3 linked regions of the Schizosaccharomyces pombe genome follow. The gene in region 2 interacts genetically with the main gene of each other region. Each region holds a gene or a part of one and is shown on either strand. Other genes may lie near its edges. The genes, in order: rad26, spp2 and spb70.

Evidence for each region.
Region 1: mutations in spp2 (region 2) and rad26 are lethal when combined (synthetic lethality), as found in Schizosaccharomyces pombe (one study listed by BioGRID).
Region 3: mutations in spp2 (region 2) and spb70 impair growth when combined (synthetic growth defect), as found in Schizosaccharomyces pombe (one study listed by BioGRID).

What each region holds. Positions count from the first base shown.
Region 1 is NC_003424.3:4,446,059-4,457,119, forward strand, and holds rad26 (ATR checkpoint kinase regulatory subunit Rad26), read left to right. Parts: upstream 1-4,546; 5' UTR 4,547-4,787; intron 4,788-4,867; 5' UTR 4,868-5,056; coding exon 5,057-5,806; exon of another isoform or gene 5,807-5,861; coding exon 5,862-6,527; intron 6,528-6,582; coding exon 6,583-7,011; 3' UTR 7,012-7,311; downstream 7,312-11,061. Other genes in the region: SPOM_SPAC9E9.06C (threonine synthase), read right to left, coding at 1-1,283, 1,342-1,410; GTPase Ypt2, read right to left, coding at 2,857-3,459; atd1 (aldehyde dehydrogenase), read right to left, coding at 7,502-9,013.
Region 2 is NC_003423.3:3,312,237-3,322,520, reverse strand, and holds spp2 (DNA primase large subunit Spp2), read right to left. Parts: upstream 4,749-10,284; 5' UTR 4,739-4,748; coding exon 4,573-4,738; exon of another isoform or gene 4,515-4,572; coding exon 4,319-4,514; exon of another isoform or gene 4,120-4,318; coding exon 3,528-4,119; exon of another isoform or gene 3,485-3,527; coding exon 3,059-3,484; 3' UTR 2,892-3,058; downstream 1-2,891. Other genes in the region: proteasome regulatory subunit Rpn2, read left to right, coding at 1-2,638; tif301 (translation initiation factor eIF3a), read right to left, coding at 5,340-8,099, 8,145-8,183; histone acetyltransferase complex subunit Nto1, read left to right, coding at 9,641-10,284. UniProt on the Schizosaccharomyces pombe protein: Regulatory subunit of the DNA primase complex and component of the DNA polymerase alpha complex (also known as the alpha DNA polymerase-primase complex - primosome/replisome) which play an essential role in the initiation of DNA synthesis.
Region 3 is NC_003421.2:283,843-294,854, reverse strand, and holds spb70 (DNA polymerase alpha B-subunit), read right to left. Parts: upstream 7,627-11,012; 5' UTR 7,216-7,626; coding exon 6,950-7,215; exon of another isoform or gene 6,909-6,949; coding exon 5,930-6,908; exon of another isoform or gene 5,888-5,929; coding exon 5,579-5,887; exon of another isoform or gene 5,540-5,578; coding exon 5,369-5,539; 3' UTR 5,151-5,368; downstream 1-5,150. Other genes in the region: kpa1 (DinB-like DNA repair polymerase kappa), read right to left, coding at 1-393, 440-879, 919-1,411; GTPase Ria1, read right to left, coding at 1,841-2,594, 2,640-4,792, 4,848-4,943; protein knh3, read left to right, coding at 10,384-11,012. UniProt on the Schizosaccharomyces pombe protein: Accessory subunit of the DNA polymerase alpha complex (also known as the alpha DNA polymerase-primase complex) which plays an essential role in the initiation of DNA synthesis.

The sequences.
Region 1 (11,061 bases), on a different chromosome or scaffold from region 2:
TGAGCTGTGGAAAGGCAAATATAGGTAATATCCTGGTCCTTAGTCTTCTCTAAGCAACGAAGACCAGTTTCGACGCCAACAGCAGTGTGTGGGTCGATGATATAATGATCACTTTCATAGATTTTTTTAATAGCATCAATGGTTTCATCATTACTAACACGTTCACTCACGAAATCACGTCTAGCGGCTTCCAAAACCTCGGGACGGACAGTAACTGTTCCATCACGTTTGAATTCATTCATCCAGCGAGACAAAATTTCCGAGGCCTCAGCAGGAGTATGATTAGGAGCCTCAGTGGCTAATGCAAGATACCATAAGTAACGCTCGAAGTTAGAAGAAACCAAAATGTCCATTGCAGGAGAGTAAGTTTCTTTGGCGGAAATAGGTCCACTGGGCGAAACTTGAGTAGAATCAGCTTTTTCATAACGACCAGTCTTGAAGAAACGATTCAAAATATCATTCTCGTTAGTAGCAATAACAAGTTGTTTAGTAGGTAAGCCCATACGCTTGGCGTAGTAACCAGCGAGAATATCACCAAAATTACCGGTGGGAACGATGAAACGAACATCGTCAGCCTTTCCTTGCTTGTAAACGGAAAGATAAGAATATAAGTAATAGGTAATTTGAGAGAGAATACGAGCCCAGTTAATAGAATTAACGGCACCAATATGATGCTTCTTATTAAACTCAACATCGCCAAAAATTTGTTTAACAAGATCTTGACAATCGTCAAAGACGCCGTTCACAGTGATACAGTGAACGTTAGGATCTGTGACTGTAGTCATCTGAGCTTCTTGGATAGGGGAAACACGTCCATTGGGAAATAAGATAAAAACTGAAACGTCCTTCTTGCCACGTAAGCCATAGATAGCTGCACTACCAGTGTCACCACTAGTGGCACCAACCACGGTCAGATGATCACGTTCGTCTTCAGGTTTGTTTCCGTTCTTACGAGTAAGGAAAAATTCAAAGAGGTTACCAAGAAATTGCAAAGCAACATCTTTGAACGCAAAAGTAGGACCATGGAAGAGCTCAAGTACATTGAGACCGTTCTTTAATGATTTTAGAGGAGTAGTCTCTGGGTGGCGGAAGGTAGAGTAAGAGCGATCAACCAATTTTTTCAATTCATCAGCTGAAATTTCAGAGCGAGGAATGTACAAAGACATTACCTCAAAGGCAATTTCAGGGAAGGATTTGTCCTTCCAAGCCTCAATCCATCCGCTAGGTAGCTGAGGGATTTCTGATGGAATAAACAATCCTCCATCATTAGCCAAACCCTTAAGCTATACAGTAATGGCAATTAGTAAACCGAGTTATAAGTAAGACGCATTTGTGACATACCACAGCCTCTTCAAAAGAAAAATTTGAAGATCCACCACGAGTCGATAAATAACTAACTTGGCTAGACATTTCGCTATTTCCCAAAACAGAACGTTGCTTGTTCTTGGTAAATAAAATCCGCCATTTTTCAGAGAACCTTGCAATCTTTCGTGTTATCAACAGTTTACAAAATTGAGTGTACCAACGTAAATATTTTAAAGATAGTATCGTTAATTTTCACTATAGTAGCTCTTTGAGTTGGTTTTTTTCGAATTTATTATTTTCTGAACCCGTGGCTATTGCTCACTACACTACTCCATTTTACGGTATGCTTCGCTACATTTTTTGTTCTTAAGTTTTATATTTGTCACCCAAAACGGAAATGTATTCGTAATTTTTAATATATCCTAAAATGAAAATATTATAAATTGAATCAAATTTCCTGCGTTTCATATTTCAATTATCAGCTATCAGCTGGTAATTGTACATTAAGTCCAACCTGACTATCGATATATATATAATTGCATATCGTTAAATTGTCATGAAAAGAAAATAGTAAAATCCCAAGTTGAGACTTACCGCAAAGTAACACATCGTTATCTTGGTTAGCAATTGCGTAGTTAACAAAAACGTAAACAAACAAGAGTATGAGTATGCCAAATTACTCTACATTGCTGAAATCGTTTTAATCTTGGCAATAATCTGGTACATCGACTTTCATATAGTAATACGTTGTTTAAAAAGATTAAGATGCTGAAGTGGTAATCTTGGAAAGGCTTCTGTTGTGGTCTCGTTGCAAGATAAAAATAAAATAAAATCTACAATGTAACAAGGTAAGTAGTCATCTTACGTTTAAATGAAGATGAAGATAAGGCAATTAAAATATGTAAAAGATAGGCGTTAAAAGACGTTTCGATTGATGACAACCTAATCAAATCGGTATAACATGATGAAAAATGTAAACTTGGTTCAGTGGCCCAAACATTTAAAACAATAGGCAGCAGCCGTAAAAAATAAATGAGGTAGATCAACAGGACGAATTAGATGGTGCTTGATTGCTCGTTGCAAATTGATAAAAGGATTCGCGAGAAACATTGGAAAATGGCCCCAAGAAAAAGCAAAGGCATTACTTTTTGAAATGTTAAGGAAATTGCAATGAAAAAAGAGACGTTGAAAAAAAAAACATGGGAATTGATTATATTCCAAAATGTAAACTCGATCTAATCACAACAACTCGAAAGCATATCAAAAGTTGATTGAAGCTATTAGGCATAAATTTTACGTTATGAAAGCATTAAAAAGTAAGAGAAAGTGTACAATATAGAGAAATATTATAAACTTCCCAACCGGGTAGAGTTGAAAAGAGTAAGGAAACAAAGTAGCAATCCGGAAACGATAACCAACACAAGATATAAAAAGCAATGCCAATCTCCACTCCTTCAAGCTCTCCACACACTTCACGACTATATACGTATCGGCGGTGCTAATATCAAAAACTAGCGAAAAAGAAAATGTGACAAGATAATAATAAGGAGCCTAACAACACCTCTTCACCGTACGATCGTTTCCGAGGTCAACGTTATTTGCCTGGTTGGAAAATTCGTTTTCTGCATCAATCTTTTGTTTTTTTATTTCCCGGGCAAGGGTAAAAAATGCCTCATCTACATTGACGTTCGTCTTCGCACTAGCTTCTAAAAATTTAACGCCCAGCTCATCGGCTAACGCTTGTCCCTGTTCAAAGGAGACCTGACGCTGATCCTCACAATCACATTTATTTCCAATAAGGATTTTATAAACATTTTCACTAGCATGTTGTTCAACGTTACTAAACCAAGTTCGGACGTTATCAAATGATTTTTTATCAGTTACATCGTATAACAATAAAATACCCATTGCACCACGATAATAAGCAGTGGTAATGGTACGGAAACGTTCCTGGCCAGCAGTGTCCCAAATTTGGAGTTTGATACGTTTTCCATCTAGTTCAATCGTGCGAATCTTGAAATCAATTCCAATCGTTGTGATAAAAGAAGGGGTAAACGAGTCTTCCGAAAATCTCAGAAGAAGACATGATTTTCCCACACCTGAATCTCCTATGAGAAGTAATTTGATTAAATAATCGTAGGATTTTGTAGACATGGAGGAGTGTTGCTTTTGCCAGGTGGTAAGTGGTAGAATCTACTGGAGTCCCTTGAGATAATGCCGCAAAAATACACTTAAATTTATTAATTCAAGTAATGTTATTGTATAAATGGTACTAGTTTTATTTAAGTCTTTGTTTGTGTTTTTTTATGTTGAAAAAACATGACTTTCAACTTTTTTATGTACGTTTCCTAAGGGCAATAAACTCGAAGTTTTGATAAAGGAAGTCACTATTCTAGGGCACATACATACACTCTTGAGAAAGTAACAAAGATATTCACAAGAGAAATAATTCAGATTTCATGTCAGAGAAAAATCTCTGTCACTAAACAATTTACTAGCCATGGATTAATTTATACGATTTGAATGACTGGTAATATGACTAATATAGTACTGCATTGATCAATTTAATCAATGTTTATATGACTGTCATTGACCTAAACATACTTATAATTAACGCTTTAAGTGTTTTGGTTTAGATTTTTCCTTTTTATTTTTGATAATATAGTAAATGGATGGGGGAGAAACAATGAACTTAACGTTAATTCATATGATCATCATTTTAGGCTTTGTCATTGTTGTTCGAGTTGAAACAATAAACCGTTTAAACCAGCATAAACTATAAAATGTTCTACGATTAGGAGTTGGACTGTCTGAAAATAAATAACTTTTAAATTTTTCGAGGTTATGAGTATTCAATAGAGATTGAAATTAATAATTTCTACAATAAAACAAAATAACAAATTATTTCATTTTATCCATTGATATATTTGGTTAGACTACAATTCGATCTTACTTTTTTAATAATATTTTCATTTTTTTAATTCTTTTATGTTTATTAATTCGAATAAATGATGGAAGCCATTTGTCATAACACCTTAATTTAAGTATAAAAAATATTTTTCTCATGTTTTATTTTTAAAAGCATTCAAACATCATACACTTATTTTATTTATTTTTTATTATTGACAATTCAAATACTTGATTTTTGGCTAATAGTGATTTACAGTACTTGAGGTCTTATTGTCGATTACGTAACTCGTAAAACTTCAAGTTGGCTATTCGATTGCTAACCAAAATGCACTAATACGCCAAGTTCAACAAGTAAATTAAAGATCACAAGAAATACTCATAGCAGTTAAACGTATCGTTAAAGCATCTTATATAGCTGCGCATTTTGGAAAAGACTATCTTATTTATCATATCTGTTGGTGCTCTGCAAAATCAATTCATATTGCTACAAGGGTTCAATTATTCATACAGGAAGTTACGCGATTAAGCAGCCTTAGTGACTGCAGTCATATTCTGCTATTAGTGTTTCGTTTGTATGTGGTATTCATACTAGAAAGAGATATGGTTTTTCGGCCTTATCTTCTCTGCATAATATTGCTTACTAACTGTTAAGGTTTTCCAATTGCTGAATTACGATAATTACAGTTACCAAGGTTGCTGAAAGTATTTGAAACAATTTACGATTTATTATGAATTCAATTCTTTTTTACAGAATAAGAAAAACATTGGGCCCATATTACAATTTGGAATCACTTCAAACAACTATTGTTACGCATAAACGAGAGTGAAAGCTACAAACAAAATGATGGCTGATGAAAGTTTTGACTTGGAGAGTTTGGGTTCGGATGAAATATTTGAAGGCGTGAATTTAGATGAATTAGAGCAACAAGCTCAAACCCAGGTTCAAGCTCAAAGTTCTCAAGTAGTTGTACCGAGTGAAAAGCAAAAGCAAAATTTAAATCTTCCAAATTCATACACCAATTCTTCTCAAAAAGTCCGGGAATCTACCGTAAACTCACAAGCCTCATTATCCTCTAATGACCTTCGAACAGAACTTTTAATTAAGTCGGGAGAAAATGCAATTCTTCGTGCTAACCTTCTAAAACAATCCGAAGCTAATAATGCCGCCCTAGAATCGTTAAATAATTCTATAAAGCAAAAGCAAGATGAATACCAACGGAAATTAGAGGAGCTTAAAAAAGAAATTGAATACGCAAAAACGAAATCCCTATTTCATGAGCGTGAAGCACAGGATGCTATCGAAACTATGAAAAAAATGAAAAGAGATGTAAAGAATTCTCCGATTATGAAAAAATCCCATGAAGAAGATGGTGACAATAAATTGTTATCTTCTTCTGATCAGCTTGCTAAGAGCACAAAGCATGCTGCAAAAAACAGCCCTTCTAAAAAGAAGCGCAAAACAAGTGTTGCTACTGCTGAAGATGCTTCAACGGATAGTGTGAGTTCTAGTATTGCTATATCAGATGCAAGTTTGTCTTTGAGCCTGATGAAAGATTTACTTTCTCTACAAAAAAGAGAAGATTTGTATTTTGTAAGTATTTTTAAACTGTCGTGTTAAATTTTATTCCCTTTTCTTACTTTTCTAGTCTTCTAGAACTTTAGCATACGTATTTGGTGGTTGTATGCATTCATTAGAAACAATTGAAGGAGAGGAGGAAGGTGAATGTTTGTTTAATAACTTGAAAGCTCTAATATACAGTCCCGATCTATCTATGGATTCCTCCAATTATGTACAATCTGTCGTTCAAACATCATCGTCGATTTTAAATTATTCAATGAAAAAATTATTATATAATGCCTCCTTTGCTATAACATCTTTGTTTAATGCATTATTAATTTTGGACCCTAAATCATCCACCTTTATCTTTCAGGAAAATGTCGTTTCTTTAATAAGTGGTTTTCTTCTTAAGGAATACGAAAAAAGCAATTTTTTGGACTCAAAGTTTTACGTTTTAATAGATTTTCTTTATTTATACTTATCTATAGCACGTGAAAGTGCTGATGACTTTGCAAACATTACTAAAGCGGTTGATCCGTCGTTATTCGAATCCTGCATTCGAGTGCAAAATGCTCCTTCTTTGATTAAATGTGGTGTTTGTTTAATTATTAGTTCCACCACTCCTTCGTTTTGCGCTTCAGTTAACTTGTTAAATGCCGATGATAAATCCCAAGAATCACTCATGCAACTTTTCACAACTATGGCCCATATTTTAGTTGTTACTACTAGGGAAAGGATTAATTTTCCTGAATTGGTACGTTTACGAATTGTGCTTATAATCTTTGCATTGCTTATTTCTAACAAATTAGAATGAATGGATAACGCTTCATCGCTTTGTCATATCCTTTTTTACCGTGTTTATACAAATGTCTGGAAACATTGGTAAAGAGATTTTAAAAGTATGCAATCCCTTAATAGTATGCATCGGACTAGCCATCACTTGGTATCATCAGCAACTCCTTTCGTCAATGTACCCTCAAAATGAATGCGTAGAGATTTTAGTATCTCTTGTTCGGCTTCTGTACATTTTATCTTCCGAAGATTTATCATCAAAATTTATGTTAGCTGAAAATGCGTTACAACCTCGTTTCGTTTATGCAATAGCATGCTGCGCATTCGGCGATACTGAACAAAAAGCGTTTGGCAATTTGGGTGAGGAAATGTATTTTCTCACTACAGAATTGTTGGAAGTTTGCGTCTCTCCCGAAGAGCTGGAGCAGTTGTACACTAATTTTTAGATAATGAAACAGATGAATCTATTTCCCTAATTTTTCAAATGAAATAATGATACTTGTTTCTTCAGTGTTGTTCTTTCCCGTCCCGCACCCACATCCTCGCAAATTAAATACAAATCAATCTGTTTCCCCAAAGGAATGCGTACCACAAAAACATCCCCATTCCGTTCTTTTAGTAAAACTTACGGCTATATTTACCTGCAAATAAAATCATCTAGCAATTAACGAAAATGAATATATTAAAGTACCACTAACATAAAGAATCATCACTATGTAAATTCAATAAAATGCATTTGAAAGTTCAAATATCAAAACCGTTTTGATTCATAATAAAGAAAATCCGTCATAGAAGAGTTTCAAGAAAAACTGTAAACATTCATAACATAAAGAGAAAAATCCAATAATTCTCTTCACTAGAGTTTTTCTTCATTCTTTATCCATTGAATGCATATTTTTTTATTTTTTTTACAAAAAATATTTGCGTCTGATTTCCTTAAATGGGAGAATCCATTCCCAGGTTGATGTGAACAGCTTTTGTTTGAGTATAATTGGTAAGACCGTAAGAGCCCAATTCGCGACCGATGCCACTCTCCTTATAACCACCAAAGGGAATTTGGTGATGAAGTAAGTTATAACAATTCACCCAAACAGTACCGGCTTCAAGAGCATTGCTGACCTTGATGGCATTGGTAATATTGTTAGTGTGTACACCAGCAGCTAAACCATATGTACTGTTGTTACCGCGACGGATGGCCTCCTCGATGGTCTTGAATTTAATGACGGCAAGAACGGGTCCAAAAATTTCCTCCTTACCGACAGCCATGTCCTCGGTAACGTTGGAGAGAATAGTAGGTTCGACAAAGTAACCGAGATTACCATGACGCTTACCACCAATCTCTAATTTGGCACCATGAGCAATGCCACTCTCAATATAACTAACAATACGTTCATACTGTTGCTTACTAACTTGAGCACCTTGGAAGGTATCTTCGGCGAAAGGATCACCAACCTTCAAAGTCTTGGCCTTGGCAACCATGCGTTTAATGAACTCATCGTAAACATCCTCTTGCACGTAGACACGGCTACCTGCACAACAGACTTGACCAGAGTTGTAAAAGATACCATAGTTAGTCCAGACAGCAGCTGAGTCCAAATCGGCATCGTTGAAAACAATATTGGGAGACTTACCACCCAATTCAAGAGTGACCTTCTTCAGGTTGGAGGAGGCGGCAGCACGCATAACCATACGACCGACACCGGTAGAACCGGTAAAGGCCACCTTATCAATGTCCATGTGAGAACTAATAGCGTTACCACAACGGCGACCATCACCGCTGAGAACATTGATGACACCTGGAGGGAAGCCACATTCAGGAACAAACTTGGTAAGACACAGAGCGGAAAGAGGAGTGAGTTCGGCAGTCTTCAAAATAATAGTATTACCACAAGCGACGGCAGGAGCAATTTTCCAAGCGCACATCAAGAAAGGGAAATTCCAGGGGATGATTTGACCACATACACCAATGGGTTCGTGACGAGTATAGGCAAAACGCTTAATGTCGGTTTCAATGGTTTGACCATAATCCTTATCGGCCCAACCACCATAATAACGGAAACAATCGGCAGCAGCTTGAACGTCACCTCTAGCCAAAGTGATACTCTTACCATTGTCAAGAGTCTCAATAGAAGCGAGGTATTCCAAGTTTTGCTCGATACAGTCAGCGAGACGGGAGAGGCAACGTCCACGTTGAGCGCTGGAAAACTTGCGCCATGGAGCATCGGTCTGGAAAGCGGCACGAGCAACTTTCACGGCGATATCGACATCCTCTTCGTCGGCGTCAGCTACCTCACAAATAAGTTTCTCAGTAGAAGGAGAGTAAACCTTCACACGACCACCGTGAACGGAATCGACATGTTGGTTATTGATAAAGAGACCGACAGGTTGAATGTAAGTTTTTCCTGTAGGAACGGTAATTTCGACGTGATCAACGAGTTTTGTAGACATTTTGAAAAGTTTGTATTAAAAAATTGAGAAAAGGGGTCGTTGTCGTAAATGAGTAAGAGTAATTAAAAAATTAACTAGAAAAAAAAAAAAACCAAAGATAAAAAATGAAGTAGTGGGATAAATTTGGCAGAGCTGAATTGAAATGCAAACACAGGACAAAACCAAAAGATCAGTAATGAAATGGAAAATATGAGGTGTTAACGATTGTATAAAATAATTTTATATCAACCAAAGTAAACAACGTCGTCAAAAAGTTATGGGCGAAACCAAACTATAAGTAAAAGAGCACCTAATACGAAAAGATTAGATGGTCAGAAAAGGACCGGGGTAAATAAACAATGGCCTCTTATTATTCTTAAGAAGAGGGGGATGCAGTTTTTATAAAATGTGATAAAAACCGAAAGACGACAAAATCAATGAATTAAAACAATCAATTGTCGTTGTTAGTAATAATACCACAAAGGAAACCTATATCAATTTGGATGTAGGAAGTGAAGGAAAGACTATAGATAGAGGAATATACTAATAAGAGAATAGCAAGCGTGTTGTAGAAACGAAAAGACCGTGCTGTTCTACTTATTTCAGTGAACTGCAAAGGGGGGCGAATTCAATATTTATAGTAAAAATCATATATGACTTATACGATGATTAGTAAACAAAGCTCCAACTCCTACTGATTAATGGTGACACAAAAGACCGACACCTGGACGAATGATTTCCTATACATGATCTAATTCAAACAACGACGAATGACAAAACAGGACACCTTACCCCATGATGTCAATGCTTAATTTTGGCGAATCAAAGGAAGAGACACCCTCAAAAATCACAAGATTTCATATGTGCTAGCGTACGCAAAGCTTCCCTCCCAAATCTCACTGTGCAATAGTAATATGCTTTAGAGGGAATTGCATACTCGGAAATACAATTCACTATATCGAAAATTTGATATTAACAAACGAGGAACGATGAAAGACGAACGACGTTGAAACTCCGATGCCAGCCAACCTAGTCTAGTCTAGTAGCAAAAAGCAAAGCAACTTCTAGCGCCATCTGCATAGTGCGCTTTCGCTTCTTAAATTTTCTTCCTTCTCTTATTTCCCAAAGAATGCGATGCGCTGAGAAAATGGGAGCACCTTGGGCTAATCTAGTCAAAATGGGTCATTTTCGCAGGAAACCCCATGTTCTTTCGCTCTCCGAAAATCCCAAACTCGCTTTTCATTTGCTTTGCTCAACTTGTTGGTTTTGTTAGCTTCGACCCACTGGTAACTGTTAGTATTCTCTGCTTTATGGCGAATTCCCTTCTCACACGTTCCTGCCCCATCAACACGAGAAGTTCGGCCCTGGGCCCTTTGAATTTTCCCTACCAAAACATCTCTTATCATGGTACGTTACGTGCGGCATTTAACGTGGATAAATGAATGGAAAGCATAAACGTAGATAAGCCATTACGTTGAATAACCAAGCATAAACGTTGATACACAAACAAAAGTGGGATTTCATACATATGCATAACAAAAGAAACTTTAATCTTCTGATAGCGTTTGTTTAGTTTGGTTTGTTGACCCGCACGTCCACTACGGCCGCGAGGAGTTGGGCTCTTTTCGTACGACCTCAAAATAAGGTTTATTACGTCAATGTGCCGTAATTACTTTAATGCATGCGAAGCGAATCATGGCCAAGCGATGAGAGTAAAAAAATGGGAAACAGAGTTTATCGAGCGGTTGGTTAAACCATTATTCTGTATTTAGGAATTGGTAATAGTAGCAAACGCTTGTGTAAACAGATATACCCGAGACACTAAAATTCGCCACCTACGCTGACATCTTAGACATTAGCTACGCCAGTTTCCGCCCAGTACTTTGAAAGTCGCAAAGTGGGGGATTTCGATCCTTATGGGGGTAGGGTGAGCGTTAAGACTAGGAAAGGGTGGGATGGAGGGGACTGGTGAAGACTTGGACTGGGGTTCACGTGTGTGGGAGATTTTGGTCTATGTGGGGGATTGACTGGATTGGTAGTTGTAAAACAAAAACACAACGGTTGTAATG
Region 2 (10,284 bases):
TCTTTTGTTTGCCTTGTCAAGTGGTCCAAAGTTTTTGCATGACAAAAATAGTGATTACAAAGAAACACTAATTTTCAAATGTATTGATATGTTTATTCATAAAAGTGCAGAGTTGTACAAAAATCCAAAGGCTGACCCCTTGGACGAGAGACTAAGTGGCGTAGTCGAGGGCATTTTTCAAAAATGTTATGCTAAAAACGAATGGAGACATGTTTTGGGAATTGCTATCGAGGCTCATCGACTTGACATTATTGAATACATTTTAAATGCAGACAAAGAGACAGATTTAAAGCCTTATGTACTGGAACTTGCAATGACTGTTGTTTTAGACATTGAATTCCGAAACCGCTTACTTCGTCTATTACTAAGTTCTTTTCTGACAGAAACAGAACCTGATTATTTCTCAGTTGGAAAATGCGTTGTTCATTTGAACGATGCCTCTGTTGCAGCCAAACTTTTAATGAAACTATCTTCTCAAAACGATGACAAAAGCTTATTGACAGCGTATCAATTAGCCTTTGATCTTGAAGATTCGGCTCCACAAGAGTTTTTAAATAGTGTGATGGATTTGCTTCCTTCTCCCTCTGTGGCCAATTCCGAAGAGGACGCTAACGCTGATTCGAAAAAGGAGGATTCTTCTCCTTGTGGTTATATTATTCGAATTTTGTCTGGTGAACAAACCGTTAAATATGACCGTGAATTTTTATATGCACATAACAATACGGATATGCTTATTCTGAACAGGACGAAAGATTCTTTAGAAGCCAGGAACTCGGTTTTTCATAATGCAGTTACGTTCGCCAATGCGTTCATGAACTTCGGTACTTCCTCGGATAGTTTCTTCCGCGACAACCTTTCCTGGTTATCCAAGGCCAACAACTGGTCAAAATTTACTGCAACAGCTGCATTGGGTGTCATCCATCGAGGATATTATAATCAAGCTATGAACATTCTTCGTCCTTATCTGCCGGAAGAAGATGCGCCATCAAGCTCTACTTATTCTGAAGGTGGTGCTTTCTATGCCATGGGGTTGATTCATGCTAATCATGGAAGAGGTGTTACTGAGTATCTGCGCGAACAACTGAAACATACCGAAGATGAGATTGTTCAGTATGGTCTCTTACTTGGAATTGGCCTAACGGGCATGGCTAGTAGGGACGAAACCCTTTATGAATCTGTTAAGACTATCCTTTTTAACGATAATGCCGTGGCTGGGTCTGCCGCTGGTATATCCATGGGTCTCATAATGCTTGGTACAGCTTCTTCTGCCGCCATTGATGAAATGTTGCAGTATGCACATGAGACGCAGCATGAGAAGATTATTCGAGGTTTGGGCATCGGTATTGCATTAATTGTTTATGGACGTCAGCAAGAAGCTGACGGTATAATTAAAGAACTGAATAATGATTTGGACCCTACTCTCCGTTATGCAGGCATGTTCGCTACCGCTTTGGCTTATTGTGGTACAAGCAATAGCAAAATAGTTAGAGACGTACTTCATATCTCAGTTAGTGATGTCAATGATGATGTTCGTCGTGCTGCAGTTTGTGCTTTAGGTTTTATCTGTTTCAAGGATCCTAACGCTCTGATTTCAACGGTTGAGCTGCTCGTTGATAGTTATAACCCTCATGTTAGATATGGTAGTGCAATCGCTTTAGGAATTGCCTGTGCAAACTCGGGGTCCAATGCTGCACTAGATTTATTGAGCCGCCTTGTTGAAGATGCAACGGATTTTGTTCGCCAAGGTGCCATGATTGCTCAAGCAATGATTCTCACTCAACACAACGATCAATTGAATAGTAAGGTTTCTGGAATTCGAAAACATTTTGAACAAGTCATCAACGAAAAACATGAAGACGCGCTTGCTAAATTGGGCGCAACATTGGCTCAAGGTATTATTGATGCCGGCGGTCGTAACGTTACTATTGCTCTTCAGACAGCTACTGGTAGTTTGAAATTGTCTGCAATTGTTGGATTAACTGTTTTTCTTCAATATTGGTACTGGTTTCCACTCACGCATTTTATGTCTCTTTCCTTCTCACCTACTGCGCTGATAGGTCTGGATAAAAACTTGAATGCACCCAAATTTTCTTTTATTTCAAATGTTCGTCCTAAACTGTTTGCCTATCCTCCAAAGTCCGTACAACCCACTGCTAAAACGGTCCAAAAAGTTGAAACTGCCGTGCTCTCTACTACAGTCAAAGCTCAAGCACGTGCCAAGCGTGCTGAACGTGAAAAAGCCAGTAAAGGTTCAAATGATGACGAAATGAAAATCGACAAAAAGACAACTGAAGAGAAAGAGGCCACTCCGATGGAAATGGATGAAGAAAAAAGTCAGGATATAAGCATCAACGGCAACTCTAAAAAAGAAGAACCTAAGTCTGAAACTTTAGAGAACTTCACGCGGGTTGTTCCTGCTCAGCTTCCATATATTTCATTTAACCTTAATGGCCGTTATTATCCGGTTCGCAAATTTACCGGTGGTGTTCTTATGCTTATCGATCGTGAGTCTGATAAAGCTCCAGATTTAATTGAACTGAATAGAGACGCTGTACCTGCTAGTGCAGATACAGAGCCTGGTGAACAGGAGGCCTCTCCTCCTGAAGATTTTGAATACCCATTTGATGATGATGATTAGATTCCCAGAAGTACATCCTGCTAGTCTCAAAAAACCATATACGTTTGTAAGAACATCTTGATTGTTACTTGCATCTCTTCAGATTAAATACAAACGTTTTCATATGTTAATAGACTTGTAGTTTGAAGTTAACGTATTTATTCTACGGAACTGAGTGTTCGGAAGATTGCTAGACAATTTCATTTTGATGATAAATTTAAAAAGTTTTCAATTACGTTTTTTAAATTAAATATCATGTTTTTTACGTTGATTTGGTATTATTGCCTTTTATTAGTAACAATGCTTATTCATCTATATAACCAGCCTGCCGGTAATTAGATTTTTGAATTATAGCTATGAAATGTATTTTGAAAGTGTTCAATACCTATTGTACAAAAATTGAAATGTGTTATGATAATCGTGAACTAAAAGTATCTTAGCTTATGATTCTAAACTAAGTTGAAAATATTGTAAGGGATGGTGAATGCTCTCCTCCAGCGAACCGACATTTGGATGAGTAAGCTCAAAAACACGCGTACACGCAATATGATAATGCCTCGCTTTAACTGCCTCAACAACTTCACGGCATCCGGCAGAATCCGGTGCTATTCCCATGGAAGCCAATGCTGACACTAGATTATTTACTGAATATGTACGATAAGGACAACCGTGGGCATCTCCAGGACCAAGTTGAGGCCCTGTAAGGATCTGCTGGCAATTATAACCCTTGTAATTTTTCCTATTTCCTTCAAGTCCATAAGTATGTCTAATATTGTAGCGATATTCTTTGTTAAATTTGTCTTCTGTTACATTTGTAAAACTTTTCCTCCAAAAGACCAAAGCTTCGTCGACAGAAAGGCCAATATCCTGAAAAATTAGTAAATTACTACATAAAAAATAAGTTTCATACTTTTAAAAATAGCCCATATTGAAGACGGCCAAAATGCCGTAGATGCTTATCACGCTTAAGTACTTCATGTAAATGTTTGGCGCATAATGGAAAATGTGAAACAAAACTGTCTACTTGTCCAGCAGTAATAGCACCAGATTTAGGAGCAACTATTGAACTCTCGGGAGCAACGAATCCTTTACTCAAATGGTTGAGAATTGGCAAAAGACGATCGTCTTCATCAAGCCTAGGAAGAGATTTTGCGGTAGACTCAAGCGCTTTTTTTAAGTTTTCTTCAAACTCTTCAACAACTAGACTTACTTGTTCCGAAAATGGTACGTAAGCGTATCCCTTGTGAACGAAAACAGCCCTTCGTTCTACTAAATCCGGAACTTTAAAAAAAGGTACTTTGAAGAAAGATTCGTTTTCTATATTTCTTTGAGAAGAAGCCTGTAGCTTTTCATAAAAAACGTCTTTTTCTTCTTGTGAAACAGATTCCCATTGAAAATCAAGACTATCTATAAACGCTTGACGTTCTCGGGTTTCCTCATTCACAAATCGAAACCGAAATAACGTGGATTCAGCTCTTAAAAACCTGATTCGTAATTCATCACTAATGAATGCGTTAGGAAAAGAATAAAAGCAAGTTTAAATGTATTCATATATATAATGCTTTCTGTTTAACTGAAGCAGCAAATTGATACCCACTTTATGTTCAATTTACTACTTATGCCATAACGCGAACGCATTTATAAGTCTAAATGAGATATTTTTCGACAGACAGCACTCAAATATAGCACATTTTTACTTACGATCTGCTGAAAGCCAGGCGCAGAATGAAATGAGAATAATGATCTTTCCTTCTTTCTTCATCTAAGGAGTTTCCTTTTACAGTCCTAGCCATGTTGCTACTCATCGGCAGACGTTTATCCAGTATCTTTTTTATAATCCCGTTCAATTCATTTTTCGTCTTATTGCGGAGCATTGCTGACTCAATTTCACCCAAAACTAAATAGTTAGCTTACTCCAAAAGAATAGAAAATAATAAAGAAAATGGAAAGCATACCAACTAATCGGTCTATTGCCCATGTTTCAAACTCTTCAATGCTTATTTCAGAGACAGGAGGTTTCTTATAAAAATTAAGTCGCGTAGGATAACTTAAACTCTCAAAACTAGCACTAGAAAAATTTTGATTCTTTTCAACTACTCGACTTTTGGTCGTTCTGAACATGGTGGTTAGCGAAGAGTCTATTTGCGGTAACAAATTGTCGTGCCTCTCACCAAGAAACCTTTTTACTTTGAGTGTCTTTAAACAAATATTTTAAGCTGCTTAACCTTTTTGGTACTAATACAAAACACGTTGCTAATAATTAATGAATTATTTCTTCACTCGTTGTATTCAGAATTATTGAAATGAGAAATGCATACTACAGAAACGTCAACTGTAAAAACTCATCGTCGCTTATAAACTTGACATGTAACATCTTTATTCGATTAGTATCGTTCTACATTTACAATTAACAAGTCAAGCTTTAAGCAGTATTATACAAATTAAAAAAAGTTCAAAGGTTAACGATAATTATCTATTAAATAGAGCTACAAAAGGCTCTTTTTATACACATAACCGCTTTCATGAATTCCAATAGCATGAAAGTAACCAACTACCCTTGTAAGAAAAAGGAACTTACAACTTTCAATAGGAGAACACATTAGTTCATTTAAATTTATCAGCTGTGACATTAGATAATGCATCGTAAAGACTTGACTCCAATATCCAATTGCGACAATAATTAATTGTCGACAGGTTTATTTTCTTATAGACAGTAGGTTTACTACTGTTGTTGTTGATTACGTCTGCTTGGTGGAACATATGCTCCCTTAGAAGGAGCAAGGGTCTCACGAGGAGGAACAGAACCACGAGAGTAGCCACCACGAGAATACCTTGGAGAGTCTCGTGAAACACCGCCAGCACTAGCACCGCCGCGCCTCCAAGCACCAGGACTAGGTGAAGATGCGCCAATATTTGCTCTTCTAGCAGCTGCTTTCTCGGCAAGCTTACGAGATATTTCTTCATCACGCTCTTGCTGAATACGTCTTTGGCGTTCCAATTTCTCAGCCATTTCGCGCTGTTCGCGTTCTTTAGCTTCTCTAGCTGCACGAGTTCTTTCCTCGATAGCACGTTTTTGAGCTTCTTCTTGCTCATGAAGCTCACGGTTTGCCTCTTCCTCAGCAGCACGAGCAGCCTCCTCTTCAGCTTCGCGAATAGCCTCAGCCAATTTTTGTTCGAAAATTTCTTTACGTTGCCTTTCGCGCTCTGCATCAATGACATTTTTAGCTTTGGCGTATGCCTCCTGATATGCTTTATCACGTTCATCGTCAATATTTTGCTTATAGGCATGAATATAGGAAGCAAATTGAGCAAAAGCCTTTTTGTCTTTAATGGCTTGTTCATGCTTACGCTCTTGTACTTCCTTGCGTTGTTTCTCCCTCTCGTAAAAGATTTCGCGGTCATGTTCGGCTTGTTGTTTTGCGTCTTCTTCCCACAATGGGATAGCTTCACGACGATAAGCACGTTCCAAATGGTCGATACGCTTTCCAATAACACGCAAACGTTCGTTCATACTCTTATTTTGCTTTTCGACTTGTTCGATTTGCATAGCTCTCAATTTATCAGCATCCAAATGCTCCAAGTCTTCGGCATTGACTTCCAATCCACCCTTAGCTTTGAGCTCCTCGGCCAACTTTTTAGCTTCGTTAATGCGAATAGCTTCCTTCTCACGACGAATCCTTTCAGCATTACGTTTATTAATTTCTTCTTGAACGCGGAGAGACTCGGCTTCAGATTCTTGCTTTTGTTTGAGAGCGCGTTGAGCAGCAAGCTCAGCTTCACGTTGAGTAGCAAGTGTATCAGCCTGTCCACGACGTAATTCGAGAAGACTACGCTGAGCAATGACCGCTTTACGCTCCTGTTCAACACCAGCCTGAGCCCTTTCGTAGGCAGCCTCGGCTTGTTGCTTGCGTAAAAGGCAGAAATCGGTATCAAAACGCATCAAAACACTAGAAAGGGATTTGGCAATCCGCGTAAGTTGAGATGTAATTAATTCAGATGGAGTAGATTGAAGAGAAACAGAATCCGAAGACTTAATGGGATTAGAAAACAAGTCAGAAGAAAAGCTAATGGAATTTTCAATATGGTTCAAACGAATAGAAAATGCACCTTTCTTGTTACCATTCATAATGAATTTCTCAATTTGACCAGGGTTAAAATCGTAAGGCTCCTCGAATGTAGCAAGGTCCATAACATATTTCAATGAAATGGAATCATAAACTTGAGACAGTTGTTGGAAAAGACGAGTAAGAATAACCTGTTGTAAAGGACGAATGTATTGAGCAGTATCATTACTTTCTGCCAATCTTTTGATGATAGGCTGAAGTTTTTTGCAAATGCTCAATGGATGAAACTCAACTTCCAAAATCTGGTACAAATCACGGATAGCCTGATCACAGAAAGAAAGAACGCCACGAGAAATGGCATCCTTAATTAATGTTTCACGCGTAGGTGTTTTCGATAAGTTTAACAAAAGAGCCAAACGAGCATTCTTGCTCTTGGCATCTTCTGCCTCAATGGAAGGGCCCGATAATTTGTTGGCATCAATAATAGGGATAGAGAGAGCGCTTAAAATTACAAAATTAGCAGTAGCGGGTTTTTGCACATTTGTAAATGTGAAGTACCTATTCCAAGCTGCAGCATGAAGCAAATAATTATCACAAACCAAAAAGATTTTAATCAATTTACGGTAATAATTGCCAAGCATGACTGCAGCAGGAGCCCTCTTAGAGAACGTAAGCAAGCTGTGAATGTCTTCAATGGATCGGAAAGCTTCCTGCCAGAGTTCAAGCTCAACAGCAACGTTTAGCTGAGAGAAACGCATGTCCAGATGACGCTGCATAGTTTCAGCATCATTCAAGTTAATAGAGTGTGGAGCGTTTGAAAATTTAGAAGCATTGCCAAGATGGGACCGAAGGAGTTCACATAGACGGCGAAATTCGGTTTTACGCTGATACTTGAGGCAAAATTGGAATGCAGAGTTAGCAATTAACTGATACATTACTTCTAAACGAGCATTATTACGCAAAATATCAAGAACTGTACGATAAGCATCCCACAAAAATTTCAACCATGGAGTGACCAAAGCACGGTCTGTGCGGCTCTTGGAAAGGTCTCCCGAAACCAAAGACATCATGATGCTCTCGGGAGTTTCAGTAGCCTCAAGATCGTCAACATATTCAACTGATATCTTGTCTGCCTTCTCCTGAGCTTCTTGAACTCTTTTATTAGCAAGTTCAATAAAATGCTTGACTACATTCTCAATAGCGGTAACTGAGGTGTTTTGAACTGCGTTCTTGTAGGTGTACAAGCCTTCCTTTGCAATTTTTCCTTTGCGTAAATGAACACAAAGTTCGATGAAACGCATCATAATAGGCTCGAGAGAAAACCCCTGCGCGTTTCTTGATCTTTTCAAAACTATAGTCTCATGAAGAGATTGCAGTGCTGAGCTGTGCTGATCTAGAGCTATCAGCTCATCGGCAAGCTAATTTATGTTAGTCAAAGTAAGTAAAAAACTCATAATACATACCCTTAGCACATTTTCGGGCTTTCCTTGAGGAGGTGCCATGTTGTGCAGTTGAAAACTTCCCCCTTGTCGTAGTAAAATTTTATTACACGAATAGCGAGCTACCTCGCAGTTTTATATAAGCCACTAAACAAGAGGTACTTAATTCTTGATTTTGCAAAAAAAAATGTTAGCACATGCATATATATATAGTTAGTTGTTCATATCTTTCTTAGGTTTGACTTGAATAAGCATCACTTTTTGTGCAAAGAAATTAGTGGTTTACCGAATACGATAATATGACTAAATTTGAATAGATCGCCTAGTGTGAAGTGCTAACATACTCGTTAATCTATCATGTTTGTTTAAAAAATACCAGTTCAGTTTAGAACAGAGGAAAGCTCTATTTTTGCTTTTATTTGAACGTTTATGGGATAGTAGTCAGATTTTTCTGTTGCCGCTACTAATTACTATCGTTACACAATGTACATCCAAGAAATATTAGTACCGTTATAGTTTTGGAATTTTAGCCGTAGATCTGTTTCTACGCTAATCACCAAGTCCATTCTTTGTTTGATGTATTTGGTGATAAAACTAGTTAGTTCTTAAAATAATCTTTATTGCCGTTGAGTCGATACTCGCTTGAGTTCCTCATCAGGGCTTATGCATTGTTTTATACTTGTAGCATTGTCTAAACTCTTATTTACAATTGGCAACAAACTTATATAAACGTTGAGACCTTACCAGTGAAAGAAGTGTGGTTTGAGCGAAATATTTTCCGAGCCAATCTAAAATTTAAAGTGTTATCCTTGAAAAGTAGCAGAAACTCGCATTACTTTTACTCAAAGCTTGAATAAAGGAAGAAAGATTTAGCGAATATAGTTTGTCAAAGTATTATAATAAAGAGGTCATAACCCTATGTATTCCGAAAGATTTTTTTGTTAAAAAACGCTAAGTCCTCAATCTCTTCGACGCTAGGTAAACTCTAGAGGCCCATTTTGATGAAGCAATTTAATTGTGATTGGTGTAAATGTTAGACTTCTAGAAGAATAAACTAAGTGAAGTATTCGTTGATGGCGGGTACAAAAATATTAGCTTATAAACTATTCACAAAGATTCTTGAAAGGGCTTTTTATCAAGCATCTCGAAAATCTTTGTACTTTCACATCAACTGTATATAATTGTAACTCTTACATTTCCGTAAAATGCAAAATCACGCTTTCCAATTTCCTCTGGTTTTCTTTGAAAACAACACCAATAAATATAAAAAGAGAAAGAACGGGAAGAATAAATTTACCCCTTCCTATGTCCAAACTATTTTCATTTCAGAGTTCAACTGTTTACAATCATCTTTTTATTTCGGTCATTCACGTTACCCCCGCTTATTCTGCTTAATCATCAGCGGCAGAATGCACTATTGAAGTTTAAGCAAAATTGCACCTTTTTCTCGTAAATATAGTTACACCATGAAAGAAATGTAAAAAAGATAGTATGGTAAATCTATCTTGTAAAAGGCTTTCATGCAAACCTTCCGACTTACTTCTACTGGTCGAAATATTCTAAGACCCGATGAACTTGCTTTTCAGCCGAGAGAAGAGATTCCCTATAAATCTTTCCATCCAGACCTACAAATAGACGAACCTTTGGAAATATTAGAAGGTGACCATACACAATATGCAGGCCTTCGTGATTCTTTAGTAACCTATAAATCCGAGAATTCTTATGTGCTTAAAGCTTTGCTCAATGCCAAGATCGAAAACGTAAAGCCAGTAGGTGTTCAAACGGAAAATATTAATCCACAAGAGAAAAAATTTGGATATAAAACTGCGAAACAATTAGATTGGAGTCCAGACGAATATTTCAAGTTCGTTGCTATACATCCTTACTCAAAAACGTCCTTTCCTGTATCCTACGACTTGGATGAGTTAGACACAATGTGGTTAACATATTATAATGAGTTTCAACTTTCATCTAATTCAGAGTGGGAAAATGTTTCTAAAGAATTTTTAGAAATAGTTCTTACCATTATTGAACGCGAATGGCTTTATCTAGAGGCTTGGATGCCTAAGATTGAACCCGTCAGAGTGGAGGATGAACTAGATGGTCGTTGTGTTATTTGTAATGAAGCAGAATGCGAAAACAGTAATGCTATAGTTTTTTGCGA
Region 3 (11,012 bases), on a different chromosome or scaffold from region 2:
TTCTGAATGAATGAATTGACCTATGCTCTTTTGCTTGGTATGAACTTGAAATTCGCTTGTTTTATACTTTATAGCGATCGAGTTTGTGACTAATCCGCGCTTTTGTAAATTTTCAGATACATTTTGTACAAGAAGTCTGAGCTTGTACTCGATTATTGACGGAGAACTAAGATTGCTGGAAAATGTAGCTTCAGACCCAATTGTTTTTCGTTTGCTCTCACCGTATTCGTCTAAAATTGTAGTTCCAAATCCATAGCTACATCTCAACAAGTTTTGGAAACTTTTAGGTAAAAAGATATAAGATAAAATCACCAAATTTCTTTGAATATCCCCACACGTCTTAATTTCCAAACCAAGTAATTGCTGCTCTAAAACTCTACCAATACCAGAAACCTGTAATGTTAAAGAATGCTTAACCAGATATAGAAAGACTGCTTACCTCTCTAACAGGCAAGTCATTCATGAATTTTGAAATCCCAATCTCGTCAAATGGGATAAAAAACTGATTATTTGGTTTTCTCTTATTGCTTGCAATTTTGGCTAACAACTTGTTTGCTGCAATACCACAACTGACTGTAACTCCTGTTTCTTCATGCACTTGTTTCCTGATTTTCTCAACCACCATCGTTATGTTTTCTACAGTAAATGCAAGCTCTTGGAGACGTAAATGTGAAGTCAAGTTCATATAAAATTCATCAATGCTTGCAGGACACAAATTCGAATCATACTGAGCAAGCACATTCTGAATTTCTTTAGATTTTATTGCATATTCAGAAAGATTTAACGGAATTACAACTAGATCAGGACAAATCTTTCTAGCAATAAATTCTGGCATCGCTGATCGAACTCCAAACTTTCTGGCCACATAATTAGCAGTACCTTATTCAGCATTAGTTTCAGTCAGATTCGAATACTTACACAAAACACTCTTCCCGACTGCCATTGGTAAAGACTTAAGTTTTGGATTCTTAAGTTCCTCTATTGATGCATAAAACGCATCACAATCAACATGAACAATTATTTGGGTCAAATCTCGTTTAGCCCTAAAATCCTCAACAGTAGTATCCACACTTTCTTGTCTAATGGTCCACTCTCTTTGAAACGCTTTATCAAACCTTAATTTTGATTGGTATTTTTCTACCTCAACTTGAACCTTTTCTATTCTTAAACGAAGTTCTCGGTCTCGTTTTTGTTCGGCTTCAAAAAACTTACTTCCTTTGGAAGCTTCGTAAATTATCTCGTTAATCTTTTTTTGATTAACATTTTCCTGTCCTGACTTGAGAACAGAAGGGCCTGCCAATCGTCGTTTTAAAGTAGCTTCTTCATCTGAACTACTGCTACCATCATCTTCAATGGTAAGTAATCCATTCTCCTTTATTGTTTCTCCTATAAAATCTTTTGCATTTTCCATCCGTCAAAAAACATTAAGGCGAATAGTTTTCAAAATACTAGAATTTGAATTAGTACAAAGATGTGTTTGTGTTTTGGCGCGTCGCGTCTGTAATCTATCACCTTCTAGCGATTACGCAGTAGAGTATATCATTATTTGTATTATGCATATCCCACAACATCGGTATTTTTTGGAAATTTGAATTTGTATTAACAATTTAAAACATAACAAAAAGAAGCCTAAAGAATCTTGCATGTGCGTTTTACACTATTCATCTTATAGACTTCTAATCTTAGTCCCATAGTTCATGAAACACTTAACTCAAAATCACAGCTACCTCAACAATGTAACAAAAAAAAAAAAAAAAACATTACCTCCATCTAACCAGGTCATTGTCATCAAATTACAATCTTTTCGTTTTCCTAAAGAAATTGGAATCAAGTACTATCTTTAATGCTTCAGTGTCCTCTGCTTCTCTGCCTTTTCAACAATCTTTTGCTCTACCAATAAGCCTTTCCTTTTTCGAACGTTCAGCATATAGCGCTTAGCAATATTTTCGCGATCGGCTAACTCGCCTAAATCTTCCAATTCCTCCTCAGTAGTTGGAACCCAAAAGGGATTCTCGTCTAGCATCTCAAAACCATGGAAGATTAATTGAGGATAGGCAGCACCAGATGTCCTTTTCAAAATTTCTACAGCGAATCCAAAGGATTCAACAACTGGAATCAAGGCTTTTACAATAAAAAATGGAGTCCCTTCCTTCATTTCTTCATCAATTACTCGTCCTCGTCGCTTCGAAACAACACCATATACCCTACCCAAGACTTCAGATGTGGCCTGAACATCGCAAGAATACATGGCTAGCATAAGTCTCGGTGACCAACCTAAAAATCCATGTCTAATAGACTCTTTCACTACCGAAATAACTTGACCGGGGATTTGGGGATTATTGATGGTAAGTAACTTACTATCTTCCGAGTCATCAGATATGTCAAACTGATCGATTGACACACAAATGCCTTGAACGGGTTCAGCACACAATGGTCCCTGGTGCGTTATTAGTTGAAATGCAGTAACTACATATTCAGAAAGGTCTGAGGGTATTAATTTTGTTTCATCGCTTTGTCGTCGAAAATCTCTCATCTTCTTGGTTTTGTCAAAAAGTATATTAGGACCCACTCGTTTGGGGCCAAACGCAATGATACTAGTATTGTTAGTAATCAACCAATAGAACACTAGTATAACCTACCTATCCAAATGATTTTTCAGCTCGCCTAAGTCAGAGTTCTCTTCCTCTAAAAGCTTGGAAAGCCTTTCATAAAACTTCTCAGGAGTCAACACTTCCTCCATACTTTTTGTTAAAGATTCCGAGACAACAACGTTTCTATTTTTCTTTGAAAAATTGCTGCTAACATTTTCAATTGTTTTAGAGTGCTTCAGCAGAAAATCTACGACAGACCCAGAAAGAGGTGTTACTGTAATTCCAATCGTAACTCCGCCAACTGGTAACGTTGCAGTGACAAAGCCAATACTCAGTTCTTTATTTTTTGCTAATAAGTCGGGTGTAGCTATGGTAGTTTCCCGATATGGCACAAGTGGCTGAGATGCTTGTATTTCAATTTTTGCAAACCGTTCCCTAAGGTCTTTTAAACATCTTTCCAAATGAATCTCTCCGGCACACATAATTACATGCTCTCCATTTTCTTCAACGGCTATTTGAACACATGGATCGGCTTGATTAAGCATGTCAAGGCCAGTCACTAACTTGTTCATCTCAAATGGACGAACAGGCTCTAAAGCGACCCGCACAATGGGCTCCATTTGCTGAGTTACGCCCACTAAATTAGGACCATTTGGAGATGAGCATAGTGTTGCTGTTCTCAAAACCGTTCCGGCAAGGCCACCGATTGCGAAAACGTTACCAGCGGGAACTGTCTCTAAATAAACTAGCTCCTGTCCCATCATTAAATATAATGACTCAACCGTTACCTTGGTAATATGTTTTTCAGGATTGACTGGATCATATTTTGGACCATAAACATATACTTCCTGTCCAACTGAAATTGTGCCACTGTATATCCTAGCAAAGCCAATTAAAATGTCCTTATCATCGTCCATGTCAGTTGTGCTACCTTCTAAATTGTCAGAGTTGGTAGAAGAAACGTTTTCCTCAATAGAAATGGTATTTATGCCGCTCTCAATTGATTCAGATAATTTTGAACGTATCAATTTCATCTCCTCAGCACTAAGTTGTTTGCGACGATGATTAGGAAGATCTCTTTCAGAAAAAGCTACCATTTTACTTATGTATACCAAAACAGGCTGTTCCTTACTAGCGTCACAACTTTCCATAGCCAGTGTAATATCTGGATCTATCATTTCGTAATGAGGAGTTGAACTCAAAACTTTCCTAGCTCGATTCGCTTGGGCGTTAATAGGAGAAGGAATTTCCCTAATCGCTGTTAACAAAATTGCAGTTGATAGTGGCAACCACTGTTGAAAAATCGCAAGTAGCAAATTTCTAGGGTCTTTGGATTTGATGTCACGGGGAAGAACTTTAATGTTTAATGCCTTAATGATTTTCTCAATGTTTTCAAGGTTCCTATTGCTCACAGCTGATTCATAAACAGCCCAGAGGTTTTCGAGAACAAATTGTACAAACATTGGTTTTAACCGTCGGCCTTGAAGATGTTTGGGCTGAAGAACTCTTTTAGTTTTAGGGTCTAGATAATAATCACCCCAGAGACATTTTGTAAGTGCTTTTTGTTTTAATCCAAGCTTTTTTTCGTAAAATTCTGAAAATTGGTCCAAACAAAATGCCCAGCCATCGTATGCACTAGCAAACACAACGTTTCCCTGTTCAGGTGCGAAATATATACCTTCATCACTGATGACTTCGTCGTTATCAGCTAATTGCATAAGCTCACCAGTATAAAAGGTGCCAATGACAGCATTTACTTGTTCAACAAGTCGAAGCAAATGATAATGAGCTTCAATAGGAGACAGTTTCAGTTCAGTAATCAAACGATCCATTTTGTTAATGACTAAAATCACCTTTATACGGTCTATCCATGCTTGTCTAAGGACAGTAATTGTTTGACTACAAACACCCTCAACTGCGTCTACTAAAACAAATGCACCATCGCAAAGCCTTGAGGCCGAAGATACTTCAGAACTGAAATCAACATGACCAGGAGAATCGATAAGATTAATCAGGTAATCTTTTTCAACTCTTTTTTCATCATTTTGGCTTATAACTTTAAAAAACAATGAAATGGCGCTAGACTTCATAGTAATACCTCTCGTAATTTCATCTTCGCGAAAATCAAGAAAACGAACAGTACCAGCAAGTTTGCTAGATATGATTCCATTCGAAGCTAGTAAACTGTCTGCAAGGGTTGTCTTTAATTAATCATTAGCAACTATTCAAAAAAGTTTAAAATTGCAAAATTCATACCTTTCCATGATCTACATGAGCAAGTAATGTAAAATTACGAATATTTTCCTGATTTTTTTGTAAGGACACAAGCTTTTCTGGAGGAATAACAGGCATTTGCACTACTTCCCCTATGTATGTTGGAGGTCAACTGTAGTGACTAAGTAGGTTGAGATGTGAAACACCAAGACTAGAGTCCAAATCGAAAAAATGTTGAACATTCAAATACTACAGTATAAAAGGAATACTCATTCAACTATAAAACAACGACTAAAAGTTCGCGAGTAGCGATTTGAGATATATCAGAGATTGTCTTAGACATTTGAGGAAAATGGTTAAATTAACAACATAAACATATGAGTAATTTTGCAAACAAAATTTGAAGAAAACCAAAATAGCGATAGATAGAAAATGAAAGCTGAAAAGTTAATTAATTCTAACGGTCTATGGTAGACATCTACATAAATAATGATAACCAATGATATTTAACGCTGAATTTTTTATATTTTCAATAAATTCCGCAGAAAAAGAGAGTATAATTATCATAGTTTTAAAATTTCTGCCTTGGTTCGAAGCCATACACGATGTGAATAATGATTAGAAGAACCATTATCCCCGAGCTCTAATGGCGCGATAGTTAATTTTGCAAAAGTGCCCAAATTAATCCCTTTGGTCGCTTTACCAGGATTCAATGATACAACGTTTTCAACGTTCTATAACATTAGTTAAAACAAAGTAGAAAATTAACATACCTTTACGAAATAACGTAAATCACTTGGTAAAATTAGTATGTCCGGCATAGTATTTAGGAATTCACCAAGTTTAAGATGTGCGATATCTAAGTTTGAAGGGTTGCACTTTTCAAGAGAACCTCCAGGGAATAAGGGATAAAAATGCCTTTGGTGAAGTACGTGAGAAACCAAACGTGCAAATAAGTTACCATGAGAAGGTAGACGAAATAACTCTTCTCTAGATGTGTGAAGGAGTATATCGTTGGTTGACACACCAAAGACGACATCATTAATGGAAAACATGCAAGGATTCGGGAAGCATTTGAAGTTCTATGGATTGGTCAATAAAAATTATTATACAACTTAACATACAGATGGAAGACCTAAGGCCACCCGATTAAATGCATCCTGTGGCCATGCAGGATGATCTGAAGCAGCATCATTGATGTGAGGAATTAAAATACAAGGACAAGTTAGCTGGCTTAATATGGGTGTGACACGCTCTTTAAACAACTCTTCCAAAGAAGTCGCAGACGTTCCTGTAATGTTTCCGGTACGTATTAGTATATGATTAATATCCAAGAATGGACCACATAGAATAACCAAGTCAACAGGATTTTTATTTACATATGAAATCATTGATTTTAAAGGGGAAAAAGAGAGATCATCACGGAGAGACCAAGGTCCAGATGCAATATATATAGAAATTGGCTGATTATTTGTATTAGCAACAAAGGTAGCGTGCTCCTGTTTAGATGAACTTGGGAACGGCAAAGGAGGTATAGGAAGGATTTCCTTGGCGATAAACATGTTACCGCTAGGATTGGATCCTTTAACTGAAACAATTTGACCAGGAAATATTGAGTAACTTGGTAGATCATCCACCTTCAAACGAACTCGAACACCAGCGCCTAGACGTCTTGAACTTTCAAGTAAAATGCTATTTTGGTTGAGTCTTCCACCTAAATTGGTACTTTCGACAACAATTCGTCCTACAACTACAACGGGTTCTTGAGTAAGTTCGCTAGGATTTGCCAAATCTTCATCACTTATGTTGTATTTTCTGCAAGTTAATGCACTAAAAAGCTCAATGCGATCATCCAGAACTTCAGAAGAATCATAAAGCTTTTGATACATGATCCTGTAATTAAATGCCTTGAGATCAAAATTCGCTACGATAACCAGCTTGGATGGAGCTGAAGGTTTTGAAGTTACAATTTTTAATTCTTTATTTAAAACTTCCAAAACCCTTCCAGCGTCACTGGAATTCAATTCGAAAGTTTCGGTAGATGGTTTAGACTCTTGCATCAACGAGTCGCCTGATGCGGTGGTCTTCACTGGTAGACCTAGTCTAGATATTTGTTAGTTAAAACCATTTGCTAATGTACGCACATGCTATCAATATTCATTCCCGGGATTTGCTTTATCGATTTTCTTTCAGGATTCTGTTTAAGTGTGGCTTTTACCTGCCTCTCCATTTGAAATTTCATGTCTTTAGCAAAGGCCTTGAATGTGTCAAGGTCGAGTTTTGGTGTATTTCCTCGTTGCAAACACCAGGACTCCCACTTGTAGAACATTGTTTGCTCGTCCATATTGCAAATTTGGAGAAGTTTATTTCGCTCATCTAGCAATTCCTCATCATCGATAGGAAATTCCATTTTTTTGAAGATTGAATGAAGTTGAAAATGAAACAAGATACCCAAAAAAAAAGACAGTAAATGAATACCTGGGAATATTACGAGCAAATTAATTTGAAGTGACTAATTTTGTACTGTGATGTGGGTCCTGAAAAAGAAATAAATAAGAATAAAAAATACAAGTACACGTACTAGCAATCCCAGTCCAAAAGTGCCCAGTGATAGATTTTCGAAGTTGCTTTTTTTAATTTGTTTACGCGATTCCAACCTAACAACAGATAGAAAAAACGACGTATAGCAGAAAGTTCAACCACTTAAAGAGGTACCCACCAATAATTATGAGTAAACCTTTTTAGGATAGGAGAGTGTATCTTCTTAAAGCAACTACTTAAATCGCTCTTCTAATAAAAACTCGGATATACTGGGACGCTCCGTGGATACTGTGGAGAAACGCAGTAGTATGTGGTTTAATGTGTTTTTTAAACCTCCTTAAACATTTAACGAGATGCTTTTACTATGTAATATTAGTTTACTGATAAATAGTGTAGTATGTATTTTTTTTGTTTTGTCAGCTGAAACTAAGCTATGTTACAATGTGTCCGAGTATCACTATATGTCACATGTTGTAATGTTCTATTTGCTCTATCTACTTTACATGGTAGGTTAAAAAGACAGCTACAGTACCTTTTATGATAATATAAATATCAGTTACAATTAAAGACTTTTTCAAATACTATAAACTGAAATCAACTGAACTTCGTTCCTCAGTTCGGTTATAAGCTACATTAGTGATAACTAACAATAGACCTACATAACAGAATACATATACCCAGCTGCTACTTAAAATACCTGTTTATTGCAATATAATTGATCACGAGGAAAACTCACTGCAATCCTAAGTATCGTTAAATATTATAAACTGCGTAGTTGACATTCGCTATACAGAACAGGCTTGCAACTACTTGACTAGACAATATGGATTGTACAAAGTGAAGTAGAAATATGTTTTATATTTTTTCTCTTTTTTTCTCTTTTTTTTTCGTTGTTTTTTTTTTTTTTTTTTTTTAAACTATAGGAATTTTTGCTAATTAATAGGATCCAACCCTATAGCTCAATTCAGCATATTCGATTTCTTTTTTTTTTGGCTAATTTGTTTAATTTTCAACTTAAAAAAAAAAAAAAGTAACCCAAAATAAAATAAAATGCAATAAAAAAAATAAGAAGCCAAACAATAATTTAAAAAAAAAAAACAATATCTAAGTTAAAAATTATTTCGTTTTCAACTCAATAAATATATACTGGAACATTAAGCTATGTGAAAGAACAAATCTTCTCATACACTACTAAATGTTTCCCATGGTGTTTGAGTTTTTCTTTTTTCATCAAAGAAATTATTTAATAATACAACTAACATCGTCAGCAATAAGCCTGGGCTGAACGACCGTCTTGTTTACAAAAGCTTTAGAAACTTTCCGATACTATGGAATGTCAGGTTTGCAAAGTAACAGTTTAGCGGAAGCAGCAAGATAAACAATTAATCACGGAAGAAAGTGATTTTGACTTTCTGAATCAGATGTTTCGTGGTAATAGAGGGCTGGCTATTAAGAATTGGTAGCAAACTCAATACGTATATAGCAGATGTATATATAGAGAATGAAAAGCCCAACTTTTTGTAATCATTTTAATCGGTGATATTTTATCTACTAAAGAGAGCTTAGAAGAAAAGACACTAAAAATAAAGCAACAAAATATAGAGTATGATTATCAAAAAAAATAAAGATATGTTTCAATAAAGGTGTGAAAAAGTACTAAAAAACAAAAAGCGAAAAAGAAAAAAAGGATTACACCATCTATACTTGATAGGCAAGCCCTACGTATTGTATTTATTCTTTACTCTTTAAGTGTTGCCCCGTCAGCAGTCTATTCATTTGCTTTCATATAAAATGGGTAGGATGATGGCCTTTTGATTGTATACCTCAAAAGCAATTGCTGCTTGTATAGTTAATCCATCTTAATTTTCAAGGAATGCTATACACTAAAAAATATTGCGAGCTTACCACAAAGATCGATATTACATTTTTACACACACGTAACGTTCAAATCTACCGAGATCACTGTCTGTATTAGTGAAACCCATTAATTTACTTTATACTAAATAGCGATGCCTAATCCCTACGCTCTTTAGCATCCTTCGTAATCACCTTGGTTTCCCGCATGCTCCGCGCAACTGGTTCCCGCCAATGGCGATCGTTTAATGACTTTCAAATGACATCAGCTACCTCGTGTCGAGCGAGTATCCTTCTAGCGCAATATGACGAATGCTATCGCCTAGTCAAAGCTAAAGGAGATAGTGCGTGGAAAACCTTGAATGTGCTGATATACACGGCAAATGGTCGCTTTGAAAAAATTTAAAAGAAGCATTAGTACAGCATATATAAAGTTTTTTTTACTCAAACATGTTTCTTAAAATATTTTTTATTATTTTAATATTTAACTAGATGCTTCTAGACTGTACCATTTTTACACAGTCGGGGTCCGGGATAGCGTTCCGTCATCGCGCCGAAAATGTTGATCCGTGATTGTATATAAGAAGCGCTTCCCGTCAAATTTTTCGTTCCATTAAAAAGGGAGTTTTTGACTAACGTCTTAACTGATATTTCCTATTTGCTTGTGTTCGCTTCTTACAAGTCGCGTTCTTTTTTTATTGCTTGTCAATTAAATTCCTCATCTTGCTAATTAAATTAAAAAACGATTTTGGTTTCAATTGCATTTGGATTACTTCACTGTTGAACTAATTAATTTATTATCAATTTAAACCTAATTATTTGTTGAAGTTCCAATTGTTTCCTCCTTTCTCCTGAAATTTAGAGAATCTTTTTGATCCCGTCAAATTTATTTTATTTTTTCCTTTATTAAAACCCCGTTTTCTCTTTTCGCACAAGATTAACCGACGTTTGTTGTTTACCCATTCATTTTTGGAAATCTCATACAATCTTCTGTTTTGCCTACTGCGCTAGTTATACTTTCCTTATTTACTTGTCGCCTGTCCCACCAACTCTTTTTTGCTGATAAAATTCACTTTTTTTTTTGAATTTTTTACCCAGCATCTCGAAATAACATCAAACTTAGTTTTATTTACTCTTTTTTTTTGTTTGTTACACAACATATTTCTCTTTTACGATACCTACAATGTTGTTCAAAATTTCCTTTTTGGCTTTGATTGCTTCTGCTCTCGCTATGTCGATTAACTCTCCCACCAATGGTGACACTTGGCAAACCAACGGCGAGGAGCAAATCACCTGGAATGTCGTTTCCACTGATGAACCCAGTGCTGCTCTTTACTTGACCAACTTTGCTGTTTATCCCACCGTTACCCAATACTTGGACACTGTTGACACCAGCACTGGTTCTTACACCACCAACACCACCAACTGGCCCACTGGTCAAGGTTTCCAAATCAACATGGCTTACCCTGGTCGTCCTGAGCAAATTTATGCTCAATCTCAACAATTTAACATTGTTGAGGGTGCTGCTTCTTCTTCTTCCTCTTCCTCTTCTTCCTCCAGCTCTTTGGTTTCCTCCACAACCTCTTCTTCCAGCTCTGCCACTCCTTCGACCACTTCTTCCTCCTCCTCCTCTTCTTCTTCCTCTTCCTCATCCTCATCTAAATCTTCATCCTCTTCTTCCAAGTCTTCCTCTCGTAGCTCTTCTCGTACTACTTCTCACCGCACTACTTCCCATAAGTCCTCCTCTTATCGCCCTACTGTATTCCCTTACACCACCATCTCTCACTACAACATTACCAATGCTACCAATGG